Macaca fascicularis: one gene and its partners. The protein of the gene in region 6 interacts with the protein of the main gene of each other region in a pairwise test. Links are inferred from orthologs where the notes say so. Each region holds a gene or a part of one and is shown on either strand. Other genes may lie near its edges. The genes, in order: KLHL40, ERH, LDOC1, NEK6, CARD9, TASOR2 and PRKAB2.

Region 1 (3,954 bases), on a different chromosome or scaffold from region 6:
CCCCCAGGGTGCTCAGCCCCACCCCAGCCACGCTCACAGCCTGTCGTAGCACATGACCGAGTCCAGGCAGCGCTCGCCGTCCTTAATCTCTCTGCCACCGACCACGTAGATGGAGTTGAGAGCCTCTCCCAGGCCAAAGAGGCAGCGGGGTGAGGGCAGTGGTGGCATCCCCAGCCACTCTGAGTCCAGGTGGTCAAACTGCAGGCCAGGTGTCCAGTCAGCAACTGCCCCCTACTCCCCCAGCCCCAGCCCAGCACCACTCAGTCCCGCTGCCCCAGGTCGCAGAGGAGGTCGGGAACCCAGGTAGGGCCAATGCAGCCGGGAGGCACCCTGAGAGACAGTGCCCCTCCTGCCATCAGGCTGAGAGCAGATGAGTGTCCCCCACGCCCAGGCAGGCTCCCGGCAACCACCATTATAGCAGGCGGTAGGGCACCACAGCACAGAAATGATGGGGAGCTCTGCAAGGAGGTCCAGCTATGGCCTTGCTTTCCCAGGCTGAACGGCTCCCAACTGAGGCCTGCCTGCCCCCTGCTCTCCACCCCATCCCACTGTTCAGGAAACTTCCAAATACAGTCCTGCCTTTCGCCCTGTAAAAGCTACAGTCCATGGCCTTGTTCACCTCCACAGCCTTGTAATAAAGATATGAATACTAGGGGCTCATCTTTTTGGAAAGTTTTCTGAGGGCTGAGCACTGTGCTGATGAGCACTTTATAAGCATCATTTAACTTTCCAATGACCTTATCATGCAGGAAGAACAGTATCCCCACTTACAAACAGAGGCCTAGAGAGAATAAGCAATGTGTCCACACTGCTGAGCTAGTAGCTGGTGAAGCTGCCCTCATCCCCAGTGCAACTGTAAGGCCTGTGAGCTTAACCCTGGCACCAAGTGCCTGTCACCTCTCTCGCTGGTCAGGCCTCCCTGAGCGTGCTGCCCACCAGGCTAAGCCCCAGTTCTATCCCTTGCTTATTGTTCCTTGGCTGGAAACATTACCATCTTCCCCTTCACGTCTCCAAATCCCACCCCACTGGCAAGGCTCAAACTTATATGGCCAGTCTCCAGGAAACTGTCTCTGCCCTTTGAGATCTCACAGTCACACCCCAACTCAGACCTGGCACTCCACTCTGCTGATCCCTTCTGGGCCTCAGTTTCCTCATCTGTACAATGGGAGGACCAGACAGGATTGTTCCTTTGTCTGGGACACTGCTGCGAGCTCCAGGCCTGGCCTTCACCAAGAGGCCCTGCCCAGGATCCTTACACAGACCTTGCTCCTCCTCACTGTGCCCCACCCCAACCTCTGTGCAGGGCCAGGGCCTCCAACATACGCCAACTTGGGGCTACCTCACCCCTGAAATTGAGATACCAGAGTTATGCTGCTTTTTGGCAGTTGCCTATTGACTGTCTTCAACCTTCAAGCAGGTGGCTATCAGTCAACCGCCCCAGTCTACATCTCACCCTAGACCCAGTGGCATTTCCTTGTGTAGACACAAGCCCCTCCTGGGCCCCAAGACTGCCCCCAGTGCCCAGAGCCCAGCATTAGCTGGCAGCTCCCAAGGCTGGTCAGGCACCTGCAGGAAGTATGCGCTCATGGGGTCCTCTTTGTTGTCTTCGTTGTAGAAGAGGCCTCCAGCCACAAAGACCTGGTTCTCCTTGGTAACCAGGCTGACGTGGTTCTTGGGGACCTGGTTGGAGAGGGAGGCACAGTAGCACTCGTTGGCTGCTGGATCGTAGGCCACAGCGCCCTCCTCACTGATCATAAAGATGAGGTCCTGCAGGAACATGCCGAAGCGCAGGGTGTCATTGAGGATCCCAGGAAGGATACGTTCGGCCTCCTCATCCTCCTCTGCTTTGGCTTCGCCTGTGCCCTTATCAGCCTCCTTGACCCCGGCTGCGTCTTTGCCCTTCTTTTTCTTCCGCAGCGTGGTGATGCGGCCCTCGTGTGCATCCTTCACCATCTGCACCTTGCGCAGCAACTCGGGCTGGGCACGCACGAGAGGGTGGCGCTCCACGCGGCTCTCTAGAAAGGCGCGCGGCAGCAAGCGGCAGCGCACGCTCTCGAAGACGGTGGGCAGCGCGCGCTGGCGCTCAGCCTGCGCCTCGGCGTCGCCGCTGCCAGCCCACCGCATCACGGCCTCGAACACCGCCTCCTCCTTCTCCACGTTAAGGCCGTCACTAGAGATGATGGCGATGAGCTCATCGGCCGAGAGTCCGAGGAAGTCAGCGTCGCGCGCCACCAGCGAGAAGTGAGCGCAGATGAAGTCGCGGGCAGCCACGGCGAGACGCGCGCAGTCGAGCAGGAGGCCAAGACGGAAGACGGCCAGGCAGTTGGAGAGGCACAGGCGCTTCTGCAGGAAGGACACGCAGATGGTGAAGATGGAAGGGATCTGGAAGCGGTGCGCCGCGGCGAACAAATCCTGCACGCTCGCCTCGTCCAGCGCGATCTCTGACGTGTACAGGTAGTGCAGCACCTGGGCCACCACGTCTGGGGACACCTCCTCCAGGTGCAGCTCGCCCGCGCGCTCCGGCTCGGCTAGGAAGCGCGCCCGGAAGTAGGGGCTGCAGGCGGCCAGCACCAGGCGATGGCACGGGAACTCGCGCTCGCCCGCCCGCACCACACAGTCGAGGAACTTGCCATGGTCCAGCATGTCCTTGAGACCGTCTTGCAGGAGCGTCTGCTGGTACAACCGCTGCTCCTCCGCCTGCTCCAAGCCCAGCGCCATGATGGGTGGCCTAGGGTGTGGTGGCGGTGCCAAGGGGGCTCCTCTCTGTACCCCTGCTTTCCTGCTGCGGCTTGCTTAGACTGCGCAGCTGTCTTCTAGGGGCTATATATAGAGGTGGCCGGGTCCCTGTAAGGCGAGCCGCCTGGCCTCCTGCACATGACGCACAGGGGACAGCTGGGCAGAGGCCCCCTCCCGGAGAAGCCTTGACTCAGCCCCAGGGGCTTATGGGACGGAGGTAGGGTGTCTGGGCCCTTCTGAAAGATGAGGGCCTGGCTGCCTCATTTCTAAATGGAGCACGGAGAGGCCTTGACTCTGGATTTTTTGGTCCGAAGATGCCCCTAGGAGAGTTGATGGCCTAAGTTCTGACCCTCAGTCCAGAGACGGGGAAGCATTGGAGCCCCTCTTCCAGGGTCTCCCTTCCTTCATGCTTTCTGGGAACATCTGTCCTGGTGCCTCCATCTTCCTCCTCGGAATATGTCTCATTCCAGCCATCCCCGGATACAGGGTCCTTGGGTTTTCTGGTCAGAACTTGGACATGGTGTTCACTTTTTGGCAGCCCTGTTGCCCTGCCTTTATTTTAAGAGGCAAGGTCTCACTATATTGCCCAGGCTGGTCTTGAACTCCTGGGCTCAAGCCATCCTTCTGCCTCAGCCTCCCTAGTAGCTGAGATTACATACATAAGACACCCCCCACCCCGCATTGCCTCACCTTTAAAATGGGAAGAGCTTTTCCTCTTTCTGCCCCTCCTCCTTGCAAGAAAGCAAGAAAGTACCTTAGGTAAACAAGGTTGCCACTTTCCTATGAGGCCTGGGACAGGACATGTCGCTCTGTTAAGCCTCAGTTTCCCTTCCTACACAATGAGGAGGTGGCAAAGTTAGATACTAAGGGCCTCAGTTCAGCTCTGCTGGAGGTTCAGAAGCACCAAGGTACTGTGTCCTGGAAGTACACTATTAGAGGGTTTTAACACTTCTAAGGTGTCAGATGTGCTAGAAAATTAATTTCTTAGGATTCTACTATTCTAGGTTTTTAAACCCCCAGGGTTTTAACATTGTAGGGGAGTGACATTCTGAATTCTAGTGTTCAAAAAGTAACACTACAGGTTTAATATTTCAGGACTTTAGCTGTCTATACTCACTATTCTTGGTGCATATTAGGCCAGACCTGAGCCTGCCTGGCCACGGGGCCCCTGCACCTTGTCTATGGTCTGAGGGACCAGGGTTGAAGCCCAGGACAGTC
Region 2 (4,282 bases), on a different chromosome or scaffold from region 6:
ACTGCCTACAAGTTATCAGTATAAGCTACCTTGTCTTCCTTTTTCTTTTGTATCTTTTCTTCCCAACTAAATTATAAACCTGCTTAGGTTTTCTGTCTCCAGTGGTCACTTTCCATCTTTAATGCTCTTAAGTCATTAATAAAAACTCAGATGGGCTGATGAAAGGAAACAAAAGGGGAAATAGTGTAATAATCACAAGCATGGGTTCAATTTTTTTTGCCAACCTTAGCATAAGAGCAAAGTCACATTTTATCCAGGGGTTAGACTTAACATTAAAGGAGTAGATAAATTAGCAATATAAACCATCATAAGAATTACCCTTAAAAATCCATTGAACTATTCACCTAGTAGATGACTTGCCTTACTGGGCTTTCTCATACCAAAACCAGGTATTAGAATCACACAGAATGTTAGGTTATCACACTATGAGAAATGTGAAATATGCCCGAAAAATAGCAGACAGACGTGTCTTCCACTTCATGCTCACTGGGGAACATGTTTTTGTTAGTGTTCAGTCACTAACAAGTCAATCTCAGTGTTTCTCAACCTGGGCTCTATTACATTTTGAGCTGGCTGATTCTTTGTGACAAATGTCCCTTAGGGAGCAAAAAATCTCATCCAGCTGAGAATTCACTGGTCTGTTGAAAATATGACCCATCCAATTTTTTGCTACCCGTGTAAGGTTGATTAATTAAATGCAAGTATGATGCAACTCCACTGTAAACCCAGTCCCAAATCAAACTATTCACTTTTTTCCTTCTCTTCTGCTGTACTAGTATTTTTCAGCCAAAAACCAGAAAACAAAAATTTCCTAACAACAGGAACCCTAACTGTTTTGGAATGAAAATAATTTTTTTTTTTTTTTTTTTGAGACAGAGTTCTTGTTGCCCAGGCTGGAGTGCAATGGCGCGATCTCAGCTCACCACAACCTCTGCTTCCCGGGTTCAAGAGAATCTTCTGCTTCAGCCTCCCAATACCCGGGATTACAGGCATATGCCATCACGCTCGCTAATTTTGTCTTTTTAGTAGAGACAGGGTTTCTCCATGTTGGTCAGGCTGGTCTCGAACTCCTGACCTCAGGTGATCTGCCCACCTCGGCCTCCCAAAGTGCTGGGATTACAGGCGTGAGCCACTGCGCCCGGCCAAAATGATCAGAATTTTTAACCATCAAATTGGAGCTGAAATAGCTGAATAAACAATGGAAAAATAGTACATTTAACATGACACGCAAAACAAAGGGTTATACTCTTCTCTCCCCATCAATAATTAAATCACTTTGACTAAAAGTTTGAGAGGGTGTGAGATAAAAACGGAACTTGGTGACAAGAGACGAAGGATTAACTCTCACCTATAACCTGAACAGTCAAAGCCTTTGTTAAATCGATTTAAAAGCCACAGAAAGCATTAGATTATTTGTTACACAGAAGTCTTTGTAAGCTAGCTACTCAAAAAGTTTCAATGAGTCATTTGTTAAGAAAAAATAATTTTGTAGAAACCACGTGCATTCTTGCAACAGAGCTTGCCCCTATACACTAGCTATCTCAACTGCTACTATAATTGTATTCCAATTCTAATGCAAATTAAAGGACTAATTTGAAAGCGTAACAATGGAATAAGCTATACAGCATGTTGCTTTTTATATCTAGTCTTAAAATGAACACTGGGCAAAGTTTACTATTTTCAATACTTACTGCCCAAAAACAGGGATTAAAAACCACTAAGAACGTAACATGATACATTTTAAAAAATGTGGTCATTTTAAAATGGCATTGCTTTCCTGCTCAAATTCTTTACAGATTATACCACCTCTCAAGCCAGTTTTGGTCACTTTCTTCGAATTGGAGCTTACTGATCATCCTGGTTGGATTCTAATAGAGCTGGTCTCTGAGCTGAGCCTACTTTTCAGTCTCCAGCCCCAAGAGGATATAAATACAGATAAGAACAGGATCGAGGGCTGAGGGACGCGCCACATGAACTACCTAGAGGTCTCAGAAATAGGAAAAAAAAAAAAAAAAAAAAAAAAAAGGCAGAGCACAGGAAAACGAAAGCTGAGAAAACACTACAAAGTAAATACGACCTCTCCTGGCCCACATGCTGGATATAGTAAGCTGGATCTGTCAGCTTCCAGAAAAGGTTACACAACCCTGGCCCATTGTTCCTACAGCAGGCTAGAGCATTTGGAGGGAAAAAGCACCATTCCCGGCCGGGCCCGGTGGCTCACGCCTGTAATCCCAGCACTTTGGGAGGCCGAGGCGGGTAGACTGCTTGAGGTCAGGAGTTCGAGACCAGCCTGGCCAACATGATGAAACTCCATCTCTACTAAAATACAAAAATTAGCCGGGCGAGGTGGTGGGCGCCTGTAATCCCAGCTTGGGAAGCTGAGGCAGGAGAATTGCTTGAACCCAGGAAGCGGAGGTTGCAGTGAGCCGAGATCACACCACTGTACTCCAGCCTGGGCGATACAGTGAGACTGTCTCAAAAAACAAACCAGAAAAACCACCGTTCCTATGCCTCCCTCTACCGAGTAACAATCGGGAGAGAGCTCATCCTCAGGTCCAAGGCACGCCTGACCCGAGCGAGCAGGCGGGCGCGCAACCGCAGGGCGGACTGGCGCTCCGGGGCCTAGAGTCAGGCCTGGCGTCTCTGCGGCGGGAAGAAGGATCCATCCACCAACTGGAGTGGCGGGGAGCATCACGCCGCGCTGCATGGGGCTCGTGGGGAGAGGAAAATGTATAGGGCTGGGGTCGCTCTGGAGGCCGGGGACTCGGACTCGGGTAGCCGCGGGGGCCTTTCTCACCATCGCGCCAAACTCTCTTCGCTGCAGCTGCTGCCGACACCGCCGCCGTTACACGAGCTTAGCCACAACGCCGCTAACAGCCAATCCCCGCGAGAGGAGCCGCCGGAAGTCGTCGAAAATTCAACGCAAAAGAGCCTTTTGGATCATAGAGGCACAGTCACTTCCGGCAGCTAGAGCAGATACTGACTCTGTTTCAGCCATCTTCGATAAAGGCAAAAAGGTAAGTAAGGGAAAGTTTCCGAACTTTAGGAAGAATTATTTTGTTTCAAGACGCTGTCTTCCGTACTTTCGTTATTAAACATACGGCTCAAGTGAGCACCGGTGTAGACAGTGACATCAGACATCTTTAATTAGCCCTACTCAAAAATGGCGGCAACGTAAGTATCGCGGGCCAGAGGTCGGTTGTAACCCGGAAGTGCCCTTGTAAAGGAGGGGGCGGTTAGACAATCCGGAAGTGGATGGAATGAAGAGGTGCCACTTGGCGGCCATGGCAGCTGTAGTATCGGCGACTCCGGGTCAAGGCCCGGCCGAGTGCAGTACCATGGGCAGCACCGGGTATAGGGCAGAGACAGCTTTGTGTCAACTTTGCTGCTGAACCCCTAGGACCCATCGTTAGAGACCTGCAGGACTCCTTTCCGCATCCCAGGCTCAGAGGACAGTTTGCTGGGACTGGTGGGCTGGTTTCCTGCCGTGGGGGGCGGATCACCTTCGGGGCCGCCTCTTGGAGACAGGGGCGCCTAGGGAACGAACAGGTTCGCTTGAGTCACCCGCCGCCGCGTAAGACGTTGTGCCACTCTCATTCCGACAATCGAAGAAATCGATCATTCGCACATTTTCCCCATTGACTTTTCCCATCTCTGTTAACCCACGAGAATCTAATGACTGGCATCTCAGAACCCAGAGCCTGGGACCCTAGATTGCTGTAAGCTTTCTCTGGTGCTAATATCAGCAACAAGGGTCTGTTTCCGGGTACGTTCAAGAGGAAGGTGCCTCGTGAACACATCTGCTGGTGAGGAGGCCTAAAGAACTGGAAAGCCCACTCTCTTGGAACCACCACACCTGTTTAAAGAACCTAAGCACCTTTTAAAGCCACTGGAAATTTGTTGTCTAGTGGTGGTGGGTGAATAAAGAAGGGCAGAATGGATGATTTCATCTCCATTAGCCTACTGTCTTTGGCTATGTTGGTGGGATGTTACGTGGCTGGAATCATTCCCTTGGCTGTTAATTTCTCAGAGGTAAGAAATTCTCAACTTTCTGTCAGCTGTCGGGATGGCTGTGAGGTAGTAGTTTTAGTTGCAAAGGGAAGCTGCTTCCCTAGTTAACTCTCAAAGCTGAAGGCCTCATTAAGAAAGACTATCTTTTTAAAAAGATACGTAACACTTAATAATAGAAACAAACCTCATATTCAGCAGTGGAATTCTTAACTTAGGGTGGATAGATTTTTCCACGGAAGATCCTGGAGTATTCCATAAGCAATTCCCTAGA
Region 3 (4,122 bases), on a different chromosome or scaffold from region 6:
TACTCACCCCTGTCCCCACCCTCCAGAAACAGCTATCCTAGGTGTGAGATATAATTCCTACCCTGAACTTTGCCTGTTCACCACGTAAACAGCTTTGTTTCTTGCTTCATATAAGACTTCAAAAAGTAAATGGGGTCTTATCATGCTCTCATTTCCATTATCGCTGAACCTGCTCTGCTCCTCTTTACGCTGACATTTTCCTACTAAAGCCACGCTCAGAGCCAGAGACTTGCTTCCTGAGAATTCTGTCCCCAGGCCCAGGAGTAACAGCCCATGGTTTACTGAGTGCTCACCATGTAGCAGGGAAAGTTCTAAATGCTGCATGGGTATGATCTCATATAATCCACACCTATCAGGTGATTAATATGAAGCCCCATATCTCATTTAATCAACACTGAGGTTTACCAGTACAAATGAAATATCTTGCCTCAAAAGGCCTTAAACAGTAAGGAAATGTGTTATCTAAATTAATTAAAGGTTATAAAGTGAAGTTGGCTCCAGACATGGTACAATGAGGGAGGACATCTGGACAGATATAAATGAGAACTCTGAACCCCTCACATCCTCCTAAACCTTTCTAAGAGGTAGTCCTGTCAAATCCCCAACCAAGCTGCTCTGCATTAAACATTTCAATGACTTAACCTGGGGCAATGGCCTCACACAGGTATGCAGTTTCTTCTCAGCAGCCACCCCCTTCACTGCTCTGAACCCTCCAGGCCCAGAGATCTCAGCATAGCCCCCAGATAGCAGTACAAAGTCTGATTTAAGAGATAACCAAGCATCTTGCTAATTTCCATAGGGAGGAATCTGGGACACATCTATGAGTGGAAATTCTAAGGATGTCTGCCCAAGGAGGATGAAATGTTTGTTAAGATCAGGGTATATCTTTATGGATGCACTTGCCCAGGATCTGGGACTTAATGTTAGCTAGAGCACCTGTAAGTGACATGTTGGCTATTTGGAGTTTGAAAGTGACAATGTACTATGTTGGCTCTCTGGAGCCTGAACTCAACAGCTGCATATAGGCAATAAGGATTAAGGGGCAGAACTTCCCTGGCACAATATTAAGGAATCCAAAAGCTCAGAGAATTAGGAGCAATACATATATATGTCCTGGTTTATGCCTGTTGTTATGGTCTAATTATTAATACTGCCCTCTTTGCCATCTGCTCAGCCAACCCTTACCCATGCCACCCTGGAGGACCCAGAGAACACACCCTTTGCCAGGGCTTTAAGAAATGCGTTGGTGAAGGAAGCATCAGAACCCTGACAAAGCCCTGAGGTAGCTGTCCCCAGCAGCCTGGAGTTGACAGCAGGGATTCCTAGGATTGGTTGTATTCCCTGATTTCCATGGGAATAACGGTAGTCACAGTGACAGTTCTAGAGGTCAGTGATAGCACTTAACTATTAAAAGACAGTCATTTCGTTTTTTAGTGCTTGATATTTATTGAAAATAATGCCAATGCTTTTTCCAGGTAGTATTGAGGAGCTGGGCTGAGTGCTTGTTTGTTTTGTTTTTAGTACTATTTGTCCAAATGCATACATCTGTGGGACTGCTGCAATTTTGAAAGAAAAATGACAGCTGTGTAAAACCAGTGCATAGGAAAAAAGAAATATCAACAATTTGGCTGTCAGGCACACCGCGCCCCTGCAGCAATCTGGTATGGCAGGGGAGGACACTCGGAGTAGGTAGAAAACTAACCAGGCTGAATGATTGGCCTCTTCAGGGGTTGGTGAGCTGTCCAAATCAATGTCCGAAGAGGCAGAGCCAACTCTGGCATTTTCCAGGTTGGTCCTGATCTCGAAAGGCGGTAGTCTGTAGGTGGGATGTGGTGAGTGGATGTGAAGTGGCAGCATAGTTCTCTGGGCAGATGTAAGCCTGGCAGCAGGGCAGGTGGCAGCAGCAGGGCTATGGGTGGTCTGCGCAGTTTGTAACAGGGGCCTGGCCAATAGCTGGGGTTCAGGACACAGTTCAGATTAGCAGGGGAGGGATCCCCGGGATGGCCAGGGTAGATGACACTTCCAAGCACTTCCGAGTGAGTGAGGCTCCAGCCCCAACCCCAGCAGCAGGTAACTGGAGCACTATTCCTGGAACAAAGACAAGCACTACGGAGAAATGAAGAAAGAGCAGACGGGCGCGGGTAGGGAAGGGGACCGGAGGGCAAGGGGGAGAGCAGTGGCTCCTGGCGGGGTGAGGGCTGCGGGGAGGGGGTGACGGCGTGCAGGGCCCTCCCCCCGAGGCCCGAGGGCCTAGTAATTATCCTCTTCGTCCTCGTCGTCGTCGTCTTCGTCGTCATCCCAGCCAAAGCACTGTTTCATCTCATCGAGGAAGGCTCGGTAATCACCTAGGATGGGGCTATCCATCTCGATGTAGGGCACCACCCACTCCTCGGCTTCCCCGGTGAGGAGACTGATTAGGAATGCCACCTTCATGGCGTCGTTGCAGAATCGGTTCTCGTTCACGAGCATGTAAGACGCTGTCTGCACGATAAACTCGGGGAGCCGGGAGCTCTCGCCATTAAACGTTTCGGGGAAGGGCACCGGGCAGCTCGGCGGACGTACCTGGCGCAGCAGGCTGGCCCTCTCGCACACCAGCAGCCGCAGCTGTTCCATGAGCTGGCTGTTCTCGATGGTCAGGGCGCGGTGCCGCATCAGGAGCGCGTGCAGCAGCAGCACCAGCTCATCCACCATTGCGAACAGCCTGGAAGGACAGGGCTCGGCTCGGTTCGGCTCGGCCAAGGTGCGCACGGAGGCCTCGCAGGAAGTGCGTGTCCACGGAGACGCTCGATGGCCAGGGGCTGGGGGCGGGGGGCGGTGCGCGCCGGGGTCCGGGAGGCTACGCAAGCTCCGCCCACGAGGCCATTCGGACGGATGGTGCGCCGGCGCGGCGCGGGAGGGGCGTGGCCAGACTGGGGGCCGCGGCTGCGTGGGGGCGTGGCCGGGATGGGAAGGGTTTAGACAAAGAGGGCGTGGCCAGGAAAAGGATGCACTGGGTCGCTGAACCACCGGCTTGTGGTAGGTCTCTAGGCGGGCAGTTAAAGGCTGGGGTAGGCTCCCCTAGCTCCTGGTTGTGGGGCCTGCGTTAGCAGAGGACCTGGCGAGCGCTGAGTTTGGTCTCAGAGAAGGCAAATTTGTTCAAACTGAAAGGATTAGCCACCCTTCTACCTAGGCAACTCTCACAACTCAGTTGTTCCTTCGTGGGTCTGTGGCCACTAGATTCTCTTGGCGTGATGTTTTATTAACACATTTTCTTTCTTGTTTAAATCTCACTCAGAGAAGTATTGACACTGCTGGCTGCACTGTGGGACTCACACTTCCTTTTAGGATCATGAAGACCTTCAGGGGTTCCTGCCTTTCATGAAAAAGGCAGTATTTAAACAGTGACTTCTTTAGTAGGGGAATAATACGGCATACTCCCTTAAAACAAACAAACAAAAAAAAACAAACCTAAGTAGCAGGATATAAAGAAGTTTTGCAAAATGAGCATCCAATAATCAATTGCAGGCATCCCACATATCTTTGATTCTCTATTTCTTGTCCTGCTGTTAGTGCCTTTGGCCACTGGGTTTTATTCTGTACTTAAAAATGAACTGTTAAGATGTTTGTGTTTTTAAATAATTTTGTTTTTCTACTTTAAACGGATCCCTGATCCTAGAGCCGACAGGAATTGTTGGCTCTGCTTTCAAATATATTGCCAATTCAGTCATGACTTGTCATTTCTACCACTGCCACCCTGATCCCCAGCCTTTCTCACCCAGACTGCTGCAACTAATCACTTAGCTTTCACTCTTTTCTTCCTATAGTATATTCTCCATAGAGTAGCCACAGGAATCCTTTAAAACAAAAATTAGGGCCGGGCGCGGTGGCTCACGCCTGTAATCCTAGCACTTTGGGTGGCCAAGGAGGGCGGATCACGAGTCAGGAGATCGAGATCATCCTGGCTAACAGGGTGAAACCCTGTCTCTACTAAAAATACAAAATATTAGCGGGGAGTGGTGGCAGGTGCCTGTAGTTCCAGCTACTCAGGAGGCTAAGGCAGGAGAATCGCTTGAACCCGGGAGGCGGAGGTGGCAGTGAGCCGAGATAGCGCCAGCGCACTCCTCCAGCCTTGGTTACCAAGCG
Region 4 (3,927 bases), on a different chromosome or scaffold from region 6:
AGTGGCTGAGATCGTGCCCCTCCAGAGGGTCCAGGTGGGCAGATTGTTCTCATGGTGTGGAAAGCGGGTGGCATGCACAAAGTAGGTTCATTGCATGCTGGGGCTGGCAGTGTTGGGGAGGCACGGTAGGGGCTCAGAGAGCTGCAAGCAGAATATTGGCACAAAGTGTGTCTGGAATCAGAAAAACCTTCAGTGGTAAGCACTAGGCAGGCGACACGGACTTGATTCTCCCTTGGAGAGAACATTCCAGGGTGAATCTGCTCAGGCCAGCTCCTATGTCACAGCTGCCAGGAGCAGGCCGGGGAGAACAATGGAATTACCTCATGAGCGCAGCACCTTGGCTGATGAGTATCAGAATTATTTGGGGAGCTTAAAGAAATCCTGGGATTACTGAATGGGGCCTGGGAAGTTGTGTTTTTCGAGGTTCCTCAAGCAATTGTGCTGCAGACACTGTTTTAAGTTTTGGACCTACTGGTTTAAAAGCAAAATCTCCAAAGCCATTTTAAAATCTTCATGAATTATAAGTAACTCCCAGTCACCCTGTTTTATTTCGACCATGGAGAAAAAGTACAGAGGAAAGGCTGCCTGTGGAGAGACTGTCGGGCAGACGGTGTCACAGCAGATCCGAGTCCACGCGCGGAAGCAGCGGCCGTCTGGCCCTGGGAGTTTCCTCCAGGAAAAGCCCGGTCAGCGAATGCCTGCAGGCAGCAGGTGTCAGGAATCACCTGCCCGATGCCAGCGCTGCTCTCGTCTGGAGGGCCAGACTGTCATCAAGTCAGTGACGACAGCTCAGACCACTGGAAGGTTAACTTTACGTACAAAAACAAAATTCAAATGATTTCCTTCAGAGCTGGAGTTTTCTTAGGTTCACATTTATAAATTAGTCTTCACAGTTAATCCTGTTTGGGAACAAGAAATAAGGAACACCTTTCTGGTTTCCTACACGATACAGGTGTACATTAATTCTTGGCTTCCGTGGCCCATGGACTTCAGTTTGTGAAGGGTGAGTGGCTACCATTTTTGGATCATCTACTTTGTACTAGCTAACTTGCATATTTTATTTCAGATTCTGTCAGCAATCCTGAAGGTAGATAGGTACTATTAATCTCATTGTACAGATGAGGAAACTAAGGCTCAGAACGGCTAAGAAACTTGCCCAAGCCCAAAGTCACGCTAGGAAGTTGCAGAACCAGAATTTGTAAAGGATAGCCCTTAGCTTTTTTACATCCCATCCTTTCTTCCCATGGAGGAAAATGCTTAACACTGATCATGAAATGAACCGCCAGCATTCAAGGAGGTGATGAAATGCCTGGTACACAGCAGGTGTCCAGGAGAAGATGGCCCGGCCTGGTTGCCAGGAAGATGCCCCTGCTTCCCGATGCCATTTGCCTGTGATGCTCTGGCAGGTGCAGGGCTCTCATCGTCACTCACCAAGTTATAAAACATAGATAAAAATATTAGCAGAATCTCCACTCCATGGAAAAAAATGACTTCCACTTTATCTCTTTACAACAGAGTAAATTAAGCACACAGCTTGATTGAAAAGATACTAAGAACTAAACTGAACTCGGTACTAACCATTTTCAAAGGCTCACTACACAAATCACACGGTCTCCTGTGAGTCTCCTGTTAGCATAAGCCTTGACAGGTCACTGGAGGAATTACCCTAAAGATTCACATTACAATCCAGATACAGGGGGCTGCCGTGGCTCGCTGAACCACCTGCCCTTGTTAACCCAGCTAAGATTGTCCCCAACAGTATAAAGAAAGGACTTTTGAATTTGGCTGTCAGTGACGTGTGGCCAGCGCCCCTCCCTCAGCTGCTCTGCCTTCAGCATCTGCTGTAAGGCTGGGCAGCCTTTTGGGGAACCTGCTGAACCCTGTGGTCTTAGCTGTTCTAGGCTACCAGGTGGCCACTCGAAGAGAAGACGACTCAAGTAAGGCAAATGGTGCTGGCTTTGATAAGGCACGGTGCATCCACGCTCAGGTGCTGGACGTCCAGACGTGCATCTGCTTGGCCACCTGGTGCACGTAGCCGATGTCAGGTCTCTGGTCGGGGTCAGGGTAGATGCACATGCTGACCAGTTCTCGTAACTGCAGGGGAGAGAACGGTGTGTTATTCTCAAGAAAAGAAAGCAGCCTTGCTGAGGCTCCGCACTCTGCAGTCAGTCTGCATGAAGGCACTTCCTCCTCAGAGCAACCAGTCAGTCCTGTTTTCCCCGTTAGAGCCGAAGAACGGTGTTTGGCTGGGGCAAGTAAGGGGTGCGCAGCCGCGTGGCTCCCAAGGGCTAGCCAGTACCCTTCCTAGGCCTGTCTAGTCCCAAAGACTGTGCTTTGAGACTCTAAGAATGGTTAACCTCCAAATAATTTTGAACTTGTAGCTGTCCACACCACTGGGCAAACTGTGTGTCTCTCTCTGCTGGGAAAAGTGTGTGTGTATCTGCTGTCAGTCACGCAGATGCCCAAACCAGAGGACAAAACTCAAGGCAAGGGCTTATTGATCATAATAAACGCATTAACATGCAGCAGGGCTGCAGTCTGCCCACCTCCCGGCCCCTTTATTGTGCTCATGAAAGACGGAGCTTTTAATTATACAGACACTGAAGGCTGCTCCCGCCCCGAGGTGGGGGAGGGGTGCCTTGCACCTCTGATCGCCTCCATTCTTCTGATAGCCGGAGTGCCAATTATTTTAATGGTAATTAAAATAATGACCTTAAAATGCCTACATCTTACCCTGCATCACGGGCTCATAGCCATTGGTTTTCATTTAAATACCTGCTGCTGGAGGGGTGGCCAGCCCCGCAGGCCGCAGCAGCAGGAAGCCGGGTGGTTTTGAACCAGAGGGGGCTCTGGTGGTCTCAGTGGCCACACTCAGGGAGTCTGGGGAGGGCCCACAGGACGTTCTGGAGGCCCGGGGGCTACTGCTGCGCAGGCTCCTTAGGCTGAGGGGCGGGGCCTGGGCTTCCTGTAGACTAGGGCTCCTCTCAGCTGATGGGGCATTTTCTCCCTGGGCCGCAGAGCCTTAGGGTATCCCTCCCACCTGTGTGCATGCCTTCCAACCGAGAAGCCCAGGGGACACGGGGCCTGCAGCCTGCTAGGCCACTCCTGGCGTCTGAGGTTGCCTATGGATGGACGGCTGTTTTCTGAACCTTACAATATTCGGGGGAGGTACCTGTGGTTGGCCTCTAACAGGTTAAAATGCCCAAGAAAACCAGATTCAGGTGAAGTGTCTGTGACTCAAACTAATTTATGATGTAAACGCACAGTTGGCAATAAGTGCATGTTTGAAATTTTCAGAATTCAAGAGAAACAAAAATAATAAAGTCTTATTTTCATTTCTAAGCGGTGATATAACTTTAAAAGTAGGGCCCAGAGAGAGCCAGTGCTCCGGGGAGTGAGGGCTCGTGGCCGGGAAAGGGCTGACTTGGGATGGGCGCTTCGGTGCTCATTTCAGCCTCATAACTGAAGCAGAGAGGGCAGCTCCCATTTTTAGACTGACGGCCAAAGCAGAGTGGTCATCAGCTCCAGCTGCACGGCTTGGTACACAAGTCCGCATTCAGAAGAGGAGAAAGGAAAAAGCAAATGGCAACTTTGTAAAGAGATGCAGCTTGTTTTTCCTCCCACTGGGAGCAGAAACACTTCCTCCAAAGGTGCAGGTCAGAACTTGGGAGCCGGGAGAGGAAGGGCACTGCGCAGCGCCCGACACTCGAACTCCTCTAGCCCTGGAGTCTGCAACGCCAGCGAGCACAGGCTCAGCACAGGCGCCCCTCGAGGACCCTCCTGCCCGGACACAGGGGCGGAGCACTCAGGACCTGCCCTGTGCAGCTTGGCCGGGGCAAGGGCGCTCCTTCCAGAGCCTCACCCCAGCTAACTGATGGACCACCAAAGAGACACGCCATCAAGAAGCAGGATGGCTCCGTGGCTGGG
Region 5 (3,981 bases), on a different chromosome or scaffold from region 6:
CCTGGGCTCCATAAGGTGGGCTGCAGCCCTTTCATGACCAAGGCGTGTGCTGGGCATGCTGTGTGGCTGTGTGCCCCCCTGCACATGCCCTGCCCCGCTGTCCTGAGATGCCGGCGAGGGCAAGGGTGTCCGCACAGGGCAGAGCATGCCCTCCTGAAGAAGCCTCCAGAAACCTATGACCAGGTCAAAGCGGCTGGGTGCGGTCTGGCCTCGTCCAGCCTCCTGGGGGTCTCTGCTGTCTCTTCTACTTGCCAGGTGCCCGGGCTGGGCCTCTGGGGCATTCTCAGGACCCCTGGCCCCCGGCCAGGCTGGGAGGGCTGAGAGCAGTTTTCCCGTGGAGGGCAGAGGACTTCCACTTCCGTCTGCCTCTCGGGGCCTCCTGGGCTGCACGAATCAGAAGGCAGGCCACCAGGGACTGTCCCCCTGTGGGAGGACTGGCGGGACTGTGGAGTTAAGCCATCAGGAAGTGCACAGGCGTCCGGCACGCTCCTCCCTCCCTGCAGCCCCAGGCAGCATCTCCCCGAGGCTCCACGTCCCAGGCTCCTGGTGCGTCTGCCGTGCAGGTGGCTCCTTGGAAGACCCTCAGGTGGGTGGGTCTGGTACTTTTCTGAAAAGTGACCAAGAAGGTCGGCGCCGGCTTCGTTCAGAATCCTGGCGCTGATCCCCGCAGAGCAGCATGAGGCTTCCCACAGGCAGCCAGGCAGCCTCCGCCGCGCTGCCCCATCCCTTTCATGGCCACTGGGCGGAGACATGTTCATTTCAGTGGCATTACGGTGGCAGATGGGACCCTGCATTTCAGGCTGGGGAGGCAGGAAAGGGGCCCAGTGTTCCCAGGACTGTCCGCTGTGTGGCCGGTGTTTCTATTCAGCCCCTTGTCTGTCAAAACTGTCCTGAATGGGGTGACAAAGTACAGTGGGAAGTTGAGAAATTCTTCAAAAGACCAAGACCAAACACTTCAAAAGACCAAGTGTCTCCAGGAGTAGTGACCCAGCTCCTTTAGGCAGGAAACCAGCATTTCCCAGTGGGGCTGGAGGCTGAGGACCGGGGACCTGCGTGGGAGGCAGGACCATGTGGCTGTTCCCAGCCTTGCCCCAGTCCCAGAGGGAGTGGCTTTCAGCGGCTGAGGCTTCCACCGCGCTGGCAGAAAGGGACAGCAGTGGCTGGTCCCAACATGGGTAGTTCTCTTGTTTCAGCCAGTGGGATGGGGGTCGGGCCTCATCGGGGGCAGGAGAAGAGTCCAGAGATTGACGGGTGCCCGTCACCTAAGAACCTGGAGAAAACAGCACAGCAGCACTCCTGGCCAGCCAAGGGCAACACCGACAGCCCCTCCCAGCTTGCGGGGCCGGCGGGGAGTGACAGAGGCACGCTCCTGTGGGCAGCTCTTCCCGGCCGGTGCAGCGACCCTGGCAGCTGGGGCAGGGCTGGGTGGCCACTCTTGCATCATCAACAGCCGGCCATGGAGGAGGGAGGGCACAGCGCGGGATGTGAGCAGGCGTCGGTCAGGGGAATGGGGAAGTTCCGCCAGAACCGGCTCCCCCAGCTGCTGCCCTAGTGGGAGGGTCATTGGCCAACCTGCTCTCACCCAGCTTGGGCTGGCCGTAGTGCCAGGCAGGTGCCCACAGCTGCCCACCCGTGGAGGTGGCTGCCCCTGTAGGCTCCAGGGCGTGGTGGGAGTGTCCAGGAGGCGGAGGCCAGAGGCGAGTCATGCCGTGGAGGCCGTTCCTCTCTCAGACCCCATCTGTGTCTCCCCCGCTGCATATCTGGGTGACACGGATGGCCAAGGGGCAGGAGCAGGGGCTGGGAAAGGCTGTGGAGGGGCCCTCGGCTGGTCTGGCGGGGAGCGGGTCACTGTCTCTGCCGCCTCCCTGGGGGATCCAGCATGGGGATGGGACATGGAGCCGGGTACCTCTCCTGGATGCCCCTGGGCTGACCCCCTCGACAGCCCTGACGAGAGCCCAGGCCCAGCGTCTGAGAAGGAGCGGGAGCCGGGCCTGGGTGGGGGCAGGAGCCGGCGTCACTCTCAGCGGCTGCCCCACACCCCCCAGCCTGCCTGCGAGGCCATGTCGGACTACGAGAACGACGATGAGTGCTGGAGCGTCCTGGAGGGCTTCCGGGTGATGCTCACGTCGGTCATCGACCCCTCGCGCATCACGCCCTACCTGCGGCAGTGCAAGGTCCTGAACCCCGACGATGAGGAGCAGGTGCTCAGTGACCCCAACTTGGTCATCCGCAAACGGAAAGTGGGTCAGTGCTGCCCCGCAGGCCCCAGGCCCCAAACCCAACCAAGGAGCCCGCTTGGAGGTGGCTGCACGCTCTGCCACCCTGACCCTCGACCCCAGGAGAGCCCCGCCTGGCTTTGCCCCTGGCGTCCCAGTGAGGCCCAACCTCAACCCTGGCACATGGCCACCCTATCCCCCAGCCTCTCCTGCCAGCTCGGTGCTGCCAAGAGGGGCAGTGGGACTCCCACCACAACGGGGGCTCCTGAGACAGCCAAGGGATGGGTGGACAGCACTTTGTCCCCAGCCTAGTACCAAGACCCACAGGGTGCCTCATCCACGACCCAAACCACAGCACACCTCATCTACATCCCAGCCTCCATCTGTCCCTGCCCCCGGGCCCACCCACCCCAGCCCTCTGCCTCGCCTGTGCCCCGCCCCCAGTTAGGCCCCTCTGGCCCGCAGGCGTGCTCTTGGACATCCTGCAGCGGACCGGCCACAAGGGCTACGTGGCCTTCCTCGAGAGCCTGGAACTCTATTACCCACAGCTGTACAAGAAGGTCACGGGCAAGGAGCCGGCCCGTGTCTTCTCCATGATCATCGGTGAGTGACGGGGAAGGCGGTGGTGGGGGCGGGCAGTGGTGCTGGGTCCTCTGCCCAGGCCCCATCCCTAGGAGCCCTGAGCTCCTGCCACAGCGCAGGGCGTGATAGAGCTGGGCCACCGGGGAACACAGGCACCGTCTAACGCTGGCGCGGCCCACAGACGCGTCCGGGGAGTCAGGCCTGACTCAGCTGCTGATGACCGAGGTCATGAAGCTGCAGAAGAAGGTGCAGGACCTGACCGCGCTGCTGAGCTCCAAGGATGACTTCATCAAGGAGCTGCGGGTGAAGGACAGCCTGCTGCGCAAGCACCAGGAGCGGGTGCAGAGGCTCAAGGAGGAGTGCGAGGCCGGCAGCCGTGAGCTCAAGCGCTGCAAGGAGGAGAACTACGACCTGGCCATGCGCCTGGCACGCCAGAGCGAGGAGAAGGGTGCCGCGCTCATGCGGAACCGTGACCTGCAGCTGGAGGTGCGCCCACTGCCCCCGGGGAACCAGGCCCCCCTTGCCTGGCCTGGTGGGGTCTGCAGGCTGGGGCGGTCGGGGGTGGCCCCGTGGGTCCGTTGTCACCACCTGGAGGGGACAGCCGGGCTCACCGGACCTTCCGCAGATTGACCGGCTCAAGCACAGCCTCATGAAGGCCGAGGACGACTGCAAGGTGGAGCGCAAGCACACGCTGAAGCTGAGGCACGCCATGGAGCAGAGGCCCAGCCAGGAGCTGCTGTGGGAGCTGCAGCAGCAGAAGGCCCTGCTCCAGGCCCGGGTGCAGGAGCTGGAGGCCTCCGTCCAGGTGGGGCCGCAGGCAGGGCGGGTGCAGCCCGGGCAGGACAGCCGGGGCCTTCCCAGCCAGGCCATTGCCTTTTGCCCCCTTCAGGAGGGGAAGCTGGACAGGAGCAGCCCCTACATCCAGGTACTGGAAGAGGACTGGCGGCAGGCACTGCGGGACCACCAGGAGCAGGCCAACACCATCTTCTCCCTGCGCAAGGACCTCCGCCAGGGCGAGGCCCGACGCCTCCGGGTAGGAGGGCAGGCAGGGCGACGCAGCTCCTGGGGGCCAAGCCACGCTGGGTGGGCTGAGCTCCGCCCACTCCGTGCCTGGAAGGTGGGGCCTGGGGACTCCTATGGCCTCCCCCCACATCCCAACTGGCCTGACCACATGCTCCTGAGC
Region 6 (2,831 bases):
CTAGGTCCAACCTGAAAGGTGCATATTTCAGGCAGATAGGTGTTGGGCAGCTTATACCTGCTCACTTTCCTTTTCCTTAGTAATCTGGAAGTAATTCACTGTACTGAATAGTTAATGGTTCCCTTAATAGATTCCTGTCCTTGGAAAAATGAAAGGAAATGATTGCGGTTCTATTAGTAACTGAAAAACTGTCAACAATTAAAACTCTAAAACCTACTCAGGAGAAAATAAAGCTCTTTTGTTTAGGAATAATAAAAACCGACTTAATGACTTCTGAGAGAAGCTTCCCTGTAAAAGCCAGGTGAAATTGCCATTCTTTAACCTGTTACTCAGTGTACTTGACTTTGGGAGGGAAAGAACCCAGAAACAGAACAGGCCAGGCCCAAAGGACAGAAGTGGAGGTTTCCTGTGGAAGCTTACTGTTCTGCTAAGTGGCCTAAAAATTGCTAGAGCACTCCAGATGAGTCAATTTCTGCTATAAAAATCATTGCAGAAAGAGATGATTTTTAGTTCTCTTTATTTAAAAAAAGGAAACAAATTAGTTACAAAAAAGCCTTTGCTCCAAATAGATACCATGTATCTTACAAACGTTTTTTGCGTGGTTTTGAGTTTTTACTGTAGAAATTTTCAATATCATAAATAAATGATTCTTTCTTTCTCAGAAAGCTGATTTTTGTAGTGTAGTATTTACAGATACCATAAGTGAAAAATGATAGTTTATAAATTTGTACCATTTAGGAAAAAATGTTTTAAGTTTATGTAGTGTTGTTTGTATAACAGCAAATAAAACCATTTAAGATTATAGTTTTTACAAGGATGGTAAAACCTTTAAAACAGAGCATAATGTGCATCATGGGCCTTTCTGATATTAGCATGCAAAAACAAAGCTATTTGTTAAAATAGACTTATTTTTGCTCCAACTAAGTAAACATGTTGTAAAATTATTTTTAATATTAAGCTCAATAGCTTAGAAGGCATCTTGTTTAAAATGAAAATAATTTAAAACAGTATCTAGCACTGCAACCCAAAGATAACGGACAACTACAATGCCACTGTGACATATTTCAGCAAAATACAGAAAATGAAAACTTCCCAGGTTGTAGAACATTGATTTTTCAAATATAAGACTGTTCACATGTGTATTCACATGTTCACAAGTTTTCCAAAGGGAAAATAATAATTTTTTATTGGCATCATCCATATCCAGGCAGGCTGTAGTTGAGTCACCTGAAGAAACACAAAATTGATAAGAACTTCTTAAAATAATATGAACAAGTATATTTCAAAAGTGAGATGCTCTAATGGGGAAAACTCCTATGCACTCTAAGGTTACATTATGTTCCGTACTGGCAATCCAAGTTAACAGCAAGTGAAAATGCACATCAGATAAAATGGGTAATTTTAGTAGATGGTTTCTTCATTTAGGAATTCCTATTTATGCCAAATAGCAATTCCACCCCTAAACACTTTAAATTTATAGCATGAAATATGTAAACAAGTTTCCCTTAGACACAAATGTCAGTATTTGCCATCAACAGCTCCAACTCACATGGGAAAGTTACATTAAAAAGTGTTCTTACCAATAGCTAGTCCTAAATGGAGCTGCTACTTTTTCTATGTTTTCTATAAAGTTATTTACATCTGTAACAAGGATTCCACTATTTTCAAAGACTTCTCTGGGGATAGTAGGCTTGTCTGTAAAAACAACAACAACAAAACAAAACACAAAACTTTTGGTTAATTAATGCACTTTTACATTGCAGGACCTGGTTTTTTTATTTAAAAAAATCTGTGGAACTTCCTCGTGTGGCAGGTAGGGGGAGAAAAGGTGTTGGGTTCCAAGCTAAGAAAAGATTTGAAGCTTTGGGAATAGATGCCTCCATCAGGGGTGGTGGGGAAAATACTGAAGAAAATCTCTGAAAAATGATAATTATGGTTCTTTACGTAAATTTTTCTGAACACTTTTTTTTTTTTTTTTTTTTTAGATAGGGTCTTGTTCTGCCGCCCAGGCTAGAGTACAGTGGTGTGATGATGGCTCACTGTAGCCTGTAGCCTTGACCTCCCAGGCTCGAGCAATCCTTCTGCCTTAACCCCCTGAGTAGCTGGGGCCATAGGCACACATCACCACACCTCCCAATTTTTGTAGAGATGAGGTCTCGCTAAGTTGCCCAAGCTGGCCTCAAATTCCTGGGCTCAGTGATCCACCTGCCTCGGCCTCCCAAAGTGCTGGCATTACAGGTGTGAGCCATTGTGCCTGGCTGCCCCACAAATTTTTTAAGAGCAACCTCCACCTCTGGGGTTCAAGCCATTCTCCTGCCTCAGCCTCCCAAGCACCTGGGACTACTGGCATGAACCACCACACCCGGCTAATTTTTATATTTTTAGTAGAGATGGGGTTTCACCATGTTGGCTAGGCTGGTCTCTTACTCCTGACCTCAAGTGATCCACCTGCCTCCCAAAGTGCTGGGATTACAGGTGTGAGCCACTGCGCCCAGCCCCAGTATTTATTTAAAAAATAATACAGGTATAACTATTTACACTGTATTGAGTATTGTAAGTAATCTAGAGCTGATTAACATATATAGGAGGATTGTGGAGTTAACCTGTAAATACTACATTTTATATAAGGGCTTCAGCATCAGCAGATTTGGGTGATTCTGGTATCCATGGGATGCCAAGCCATTTAAATACCTGATACTATTCGTCAGGTATCTAAATGGTCAGGTATCTAAATGGCTCAACTTGGACATTCCTAGAGCTGACCAATTTTGGCATTAACTGAGTAAAATGGGCCTGTGAATTACCTGTTAGGAAGACAGCAAACCTGGCTT
Region 7 (3,500 bases), on a different chromosome or scaffold from region 6:
GGCTGAAACAGTGAATACAAAAAATTATTGAATCTTTCAAATCTCTCTCTCCCATCCAACCTTCCTTTTTTACTAAAATTTACACATGATTGTACTCAGCACCTCCACATTTTATCAAGAGAGAAATCCTCCAGTGTAGAGGGGCAGTTGCCCATCAGTCTTGACAGAAATGACAGCTAAAATGAGACTGCTAAGTCAATGGTTACCCTTGGAGATCAAGGCCTTACCTCTGATGGATCATGAACCCACTGTCCATCCACAAAGAACTTGTATTGGTGCTCTCCCTCAGGGAGGTCCAGGATGGCAACAAAGTCATTATGGCTACAGAAGAAAAAAGAAAGGCAGACAGGCCAAGTTTCTTTTAGAAGACTGAATGTAAAAAACAAATGGCAATCATAGTATCATATGAATAACTTCCCAGATTCCTAAGCCTTGTATCCCTGGTGTAAAAAACAACATATAAACCCATTCTCCTTTTCTGTATCATCTTGGACATGTATTTACCAGCTCCTCCCAACAACGTTAGTTCTTAACCAATATCTGGAAAAGAATAATAAAAACATTAATCCCCTCAAATGGTTCACCTAGTATAACTATTTTGCTTCAGTAGAACAAGTTCCTCAGCAGTGCAAATGAGATAGGTAGGTTCAGGATACAGAAGTGCCTCAAGGTACTTTGTTTTGGTGAACCTTTTCTGGAAAATGAACTACCATACAAAGGCTCATTCTGACAACCAGTTAAATCATTCATTATTGCTTTGGAAGCAACGAATAACATGACTACCTAGAACTTCAAAATATGTTTTGCTTTAGTGCGGAAGTCAGAGCAACAAGACTCAGCCAGTTACAGAAGACTTCCCACAAGCAGAGACAGGACTTGTATGACACAGTCCTAAAGAATGTAGTCACAAAGCTATTATGAATCCCTCTGAGGCAATGAAATTCTAAGGGATAAAAGACCTCTGACTCACTATGAGGTTAAAAAAAATCCCACAGATATACTAAGTGGCCACAGAGATATGTTCTAGAGAGAGTCCTTAGCAGGTGGAGAAAAGTAGTCCAGCTGGGTCTCTCTTCTGAGAAAAGAAATCAGGTCTCTATTCCTGGACCCTTAGATTCAACCAAGATACTTGTCACCTCTTAATCAGTGGAATCTTGGTGCTCCAATTGTTGAAGGACCCAGAGATGAAGACCTCCTTGCCTCCTTCAGACCAGCGGATAACAGTGGGCCGGGCCTGCTGTGTGGGCTTTACGGAGTCCTCCAAATCCTGCTGCCATGATACAAACTCTTTGTCCCCAGGGAGCTGTAAGAAGGAGTAGGTCATCCCTAGAATAAACTGTGACCCAAGAATTCTAAAAAGGTCACTCTCCTTCCTAGAGTAGAGAAGGGTGCTAGGCTTTGGCTAAGGATATAAACCCCAAAATTAGCAACTAAATCAGAGTTTGAACAAATTATAGAAAAAGAACTCATCTAGGACCAAAAATGGTCAAATGGCCTATGCTCAAGCACTGCCTAAATCACAGCTTAACTTTTGAGTCTACCTATATCACTCACCCTTTCACAGCCTTAGACTCTCCCTTTAAAAAAAAAAAGAAAAAAAACTAACTCCCTACCACTAGTTTAACTCATAGGCAGGCAATTATGATATGCTTCTGAGTCTTTCTTATTTTTTATTTTTTTTATTTTTTATTTTTTGAGACAGAGTCTTGCTCTGTCACCCAGGCTGGAGTGCAGTGGCGTGATCTCAGCTCACTGCAAGCTCCACCTCCCGGGTTCACGCCATTCTCAGGCCTCAGCCTCCCGAGTAGCTGGGACTACAGGCACCCGCCACCACGCCTGGCTAATTTTTTTGTATTTTTTAGTAGAGACGGGGTTTCACCGTGTTAGCCAGGATGGTCTCGATCTCCTGACCTCGTGACCAGCCCACCTTGGCCTCCCTAAGTGCTGAGATTACAGGTGTGAGCCACCGTGCCCAGCCTGTTACTGAGTCTTTTTTTTTTTTTGAGACGGAGTCTCGCTGTGTCTCCCAGGCTGGAGTGCAGTGGCGTGATCTCGGCTCACTGCAAGCTCCGCCTCCCGGGTTCACGCCATTCTCCCGCCTCAGCCTCCCAAGTAGCTGGAACTACAGGCGCCCGCCACCTCGCCCGGCTAGTTTTTTGTATTTTTAGTAGAGACGGGGTTTCACCATGTTAGCCAGGATAGTCTCGATCTCCTGACCTCCTGATCCACCCGCCTCGGCCTCCCAAAGTGCTGGGATTACAGGCTTGAGCCACTGCGCCCGGCCGAGTCTTTTTTAAGAGAGAGAAAAAAAATGAAAACAAAGTATGGTTCTGTAAAAAATAATTAAGTCAGCCATATACTTTTATAGGCAAATATGAATAGTTCTCAATTACCAGTTGTAATGGAAGTTAGAGATATCAAAATTCTAGTTTATAAGTAATTCATAAACTCTATTTCAGCTAACAAGTTACAAAAAGAAGAAACATTAAAAATTCAAAAACCAGATCACTGATTTCTTAAAACTTGAGAAGTGGCTATGAAATCTTACTTACTCCCCTATCCCAGGTTTACACTAATTATTTCAGGAGTAGGAATAAAAATTCTAGAACCTCAAGGAGCAAGAGATCAAAAAAACAATTTCCTTTGTCAAAAGTAGCTCTCTTATTAAATGAGGTTTGTGGGATTGTAAAAACAGTAACTCCAGTTTCTTTTCATTACTATCCTTTGGACCAAGAGTTGGCAGCCAGCCAGTGAGCTAGATGCTTTTATCAAGTTTTATTTGAAAATAGCTCTGCCCGTTTGTTTACCTATTATTTTATTTACTGATTGACTGAGAAAGGACCTTGCTCTATCACCCAGGCTGGAATGCAGTGAGTGGTGTGATCATAGCTCACTGCAGCCTTGAACTCCTGGGCTCAAGCCATCTTCCCACCTCAGTTTCCAGAGAAGCTGAGACTAGAGGTATGAACCAAAATACCTGCCTTGCTTACCTATATTGCCTATAGTTGCTTACATGCTAGAGTGGCAGAATTGTGTAGCTATAGCAGAGACTGTATGGTCTACAAAGTCTAAACTGTTTACTATCTGGCCCTTTACAGAAAGATTGCTGACCCCTGTTTTAGACTGGTTTAAGTGACTTTGGTGAAGAAGACTGTATAGTATTAAGCCTAAGTATTACTAAATAGAATAATGTGGGGTTTTTCTTTTTCTTTTTCTTTTTTTTAAAGGACTAGCTTATTCATATGGGCTTTCTTTTCAAAATGGTTGACATAGTTTCCCCTCCATACATTCTCTTGATATTCCTCAAAACTACAGTATAAGACATCAGCAGCAGGATAATCCAAAGTAAATAGAGAAAGAGAATTGAAAGGACTTTCACATAAGGAATTGACTTCAGAGAAAACTACATATTATCAGAACGATGCACCCTTGCCTAACTGGCTGCGTTAGAATCAAGAATTTGACATATGCCTAAGAATAACCCTCAGATTCTGATATGA

What was found.
Region 1: the proteins of TASOR2 (region 6) and KLHL40 interact in binary tests that used the Homo sapiens proteins (3 or more experiments, as listed by UniProt). The two-hybrid records come from large-scale screens. The link is inferred for Macaca fascicularis from reciprocal best matches to the Homo sapiens genes TASOR2 and KLHL40.
Region 2: the proteins of TASOR2 (region 6) and ERH interact in binary tests that used the Homo sapiens proteins (3 or more experiments, as listed by UniProt). The two-hybrid records come from large-scale screens. The link is inferred for Macaca fascicularis from reciprocal best matches to the Homo sapiens genes TASOR2 and ERH.
Region 3: the proteins of TASOR2 (region 6) and LDOC1 interact in binary tests that used the Homo sapiens proteins (3 or more experiments, as listed by UniProt). The two-hybrid records come from large-scale screens. The link is inferred for Macaca fascicularis from reciprocal best matches to the Homo sapiens genes TASOR2 and LDOC1.
Region 4: the proteins of TASOR2 (region 6) and NEK6 interact in binary tests that used the Homo sapiens proteins (3 or more experiments, as listed by UniProt). The link is inferred for Macaca fascicularis from reciprocal best matches to the Homo sapiens genes TASOR2 and NEK6.
Region 5: the proteins of TASOR2 (region 6) and CARD9 interact in binary tests that used the Homo sapiens proteins (3 or more experiments, as listed by UniProt). The two-hybrid records come from large-scale screens. The link is inferred for Macaca fascicularis from reciprocal best matches to the Homo sapiens genes TASOR2 and CARD9.
Region 7: the proteins of TASOR2 (region 6) and PRKAB2 interact in binary tests that used the Homo sapiens proteins (3 or more experiments, as listed by UniProt). The link is inferred for Macaca fascicularis from reciprocal best matches to the Homo sapiens genes TASOR2 and PRKAB2.

The regions. Positions count from the first base shown.
Region 1 is NC_088376.1:105,537,718-105,541,671, reverse strand, and holds the start of KLHL40 (kelch-like protein 40), read right to left. Parts: upstream 2,801-3,954; 5' UTR 2,719-2,800; coding exon 1,567-2,718; intron 199-1,566; coding exon 38-198; intron 1-37. UniProt on the Homo sapiens protein: Substrate-specific adapter of a BCR (BTB-CUL3-RBX1) E3 ubiquitin ligase complex that acts as a key regulator of skeletal muscle development.
Region 2 is NC_088381.1:137,312,893-137,317,174, forward strand, and holds the start of ERH (enhancer of rudimentary homolog), read right to left. Parts: upstream 2,801-4,282; coding exon 2,798-2,800; coding exon of another isoform or gene 2,706-2,797; exon of another isoform or gene 2,574-2,705; intron 1-2,573. Other genes in the region: SLC39A9 (zinc transporter ZIP9), read left to right, coding at 2,706-3,017. UniProt on the Homo sapiens protein: May have a role in the cell cycle.
Region 3 is NC_088395.1:147,495,054-147,499,175, reverse strand, and holds the start of LDOC1 (protein LDOC1), read right to left. Parts: upstream 2,801-4,122; 5' UTR 2,692-2,800; coding exon 2,251-2,691; 3' UTR 1-2,250. UniProt on the Homo sapiens protein: May have an important role in the development and/or progression of some cancers.
Region 4 is NC_088389.1:19,725,348-19,729,274, forward strand, and holds the end of NEK6 (serine/threonine-protein kinase Nek6), read right to left. Parts: intron 2,095-3,927; coding exon 1,984-2,094; 3' UTR 501-1,983; downstream 1-500. UniProt on the Homo sapiens protein: Protein kinase which plays an important role in mitotic cell cycle progression. Required for chromosome segregation at metaphase-anaphase transition, robust mitotic spindle formation and cytokinesis.
Region 5 is NC_088389.1:2,998,057-3,002,037, forward strand, and holds the start of CARD9 (caspase recruitment domain-containing protein 9), read left to right. Parts: upstream 1-1,181; 5' UTR 1,182-1,892; coding exon 1,893-2,244; intron 2,245-2,681; coding exon 2,682-2,819; intron 2,820-2,979; coding exon 2,980-3,284; intron 3,285-3,423; coding exon 3,424-3,603; intron 3,604-3,687; coding exon 3,688-3,831; intron 3,832-3,981. UniProt on the Homo sapiens protein: Adapter protein that plays a key role in innate immune response against fungi by forming signaling complexes downstream of C-type lectin receptors.
Region 6 is NC_088383.1:6,689,006-6,691,836, reverse strand, and holds the end of TASOR2 (protein TASOR 2), read right to left. Parts: coding exon 2,805-2,831; intron 1,696-2,804; coding exon 1,581-1,695; coding exon of another isoform or gene 1,577-1,580; intron 1,228-1,576; coding exon 1,224-1,227; 3' UTR 501-1,223; downstream 1-500.
Region 7 is NC_088375.1:113,066,662-113,070,161, reverse strand, and holds part of PRKAB2 (5'-AMP-activated protein kinase subunit beta-2), read right to left. Parts: intron 1,304-3,500; coding exon 1,137-1,303; intron 322-1,136; coding exon 228-321; intron 3-227; coding exon 1-2. UniProt on the Homo sapiens protein: Non-catalytic subunit of AMP-activated protein kinase (AMPK), an energy sensor protein kinase that plays a key role in regulating cellular energy metabolism.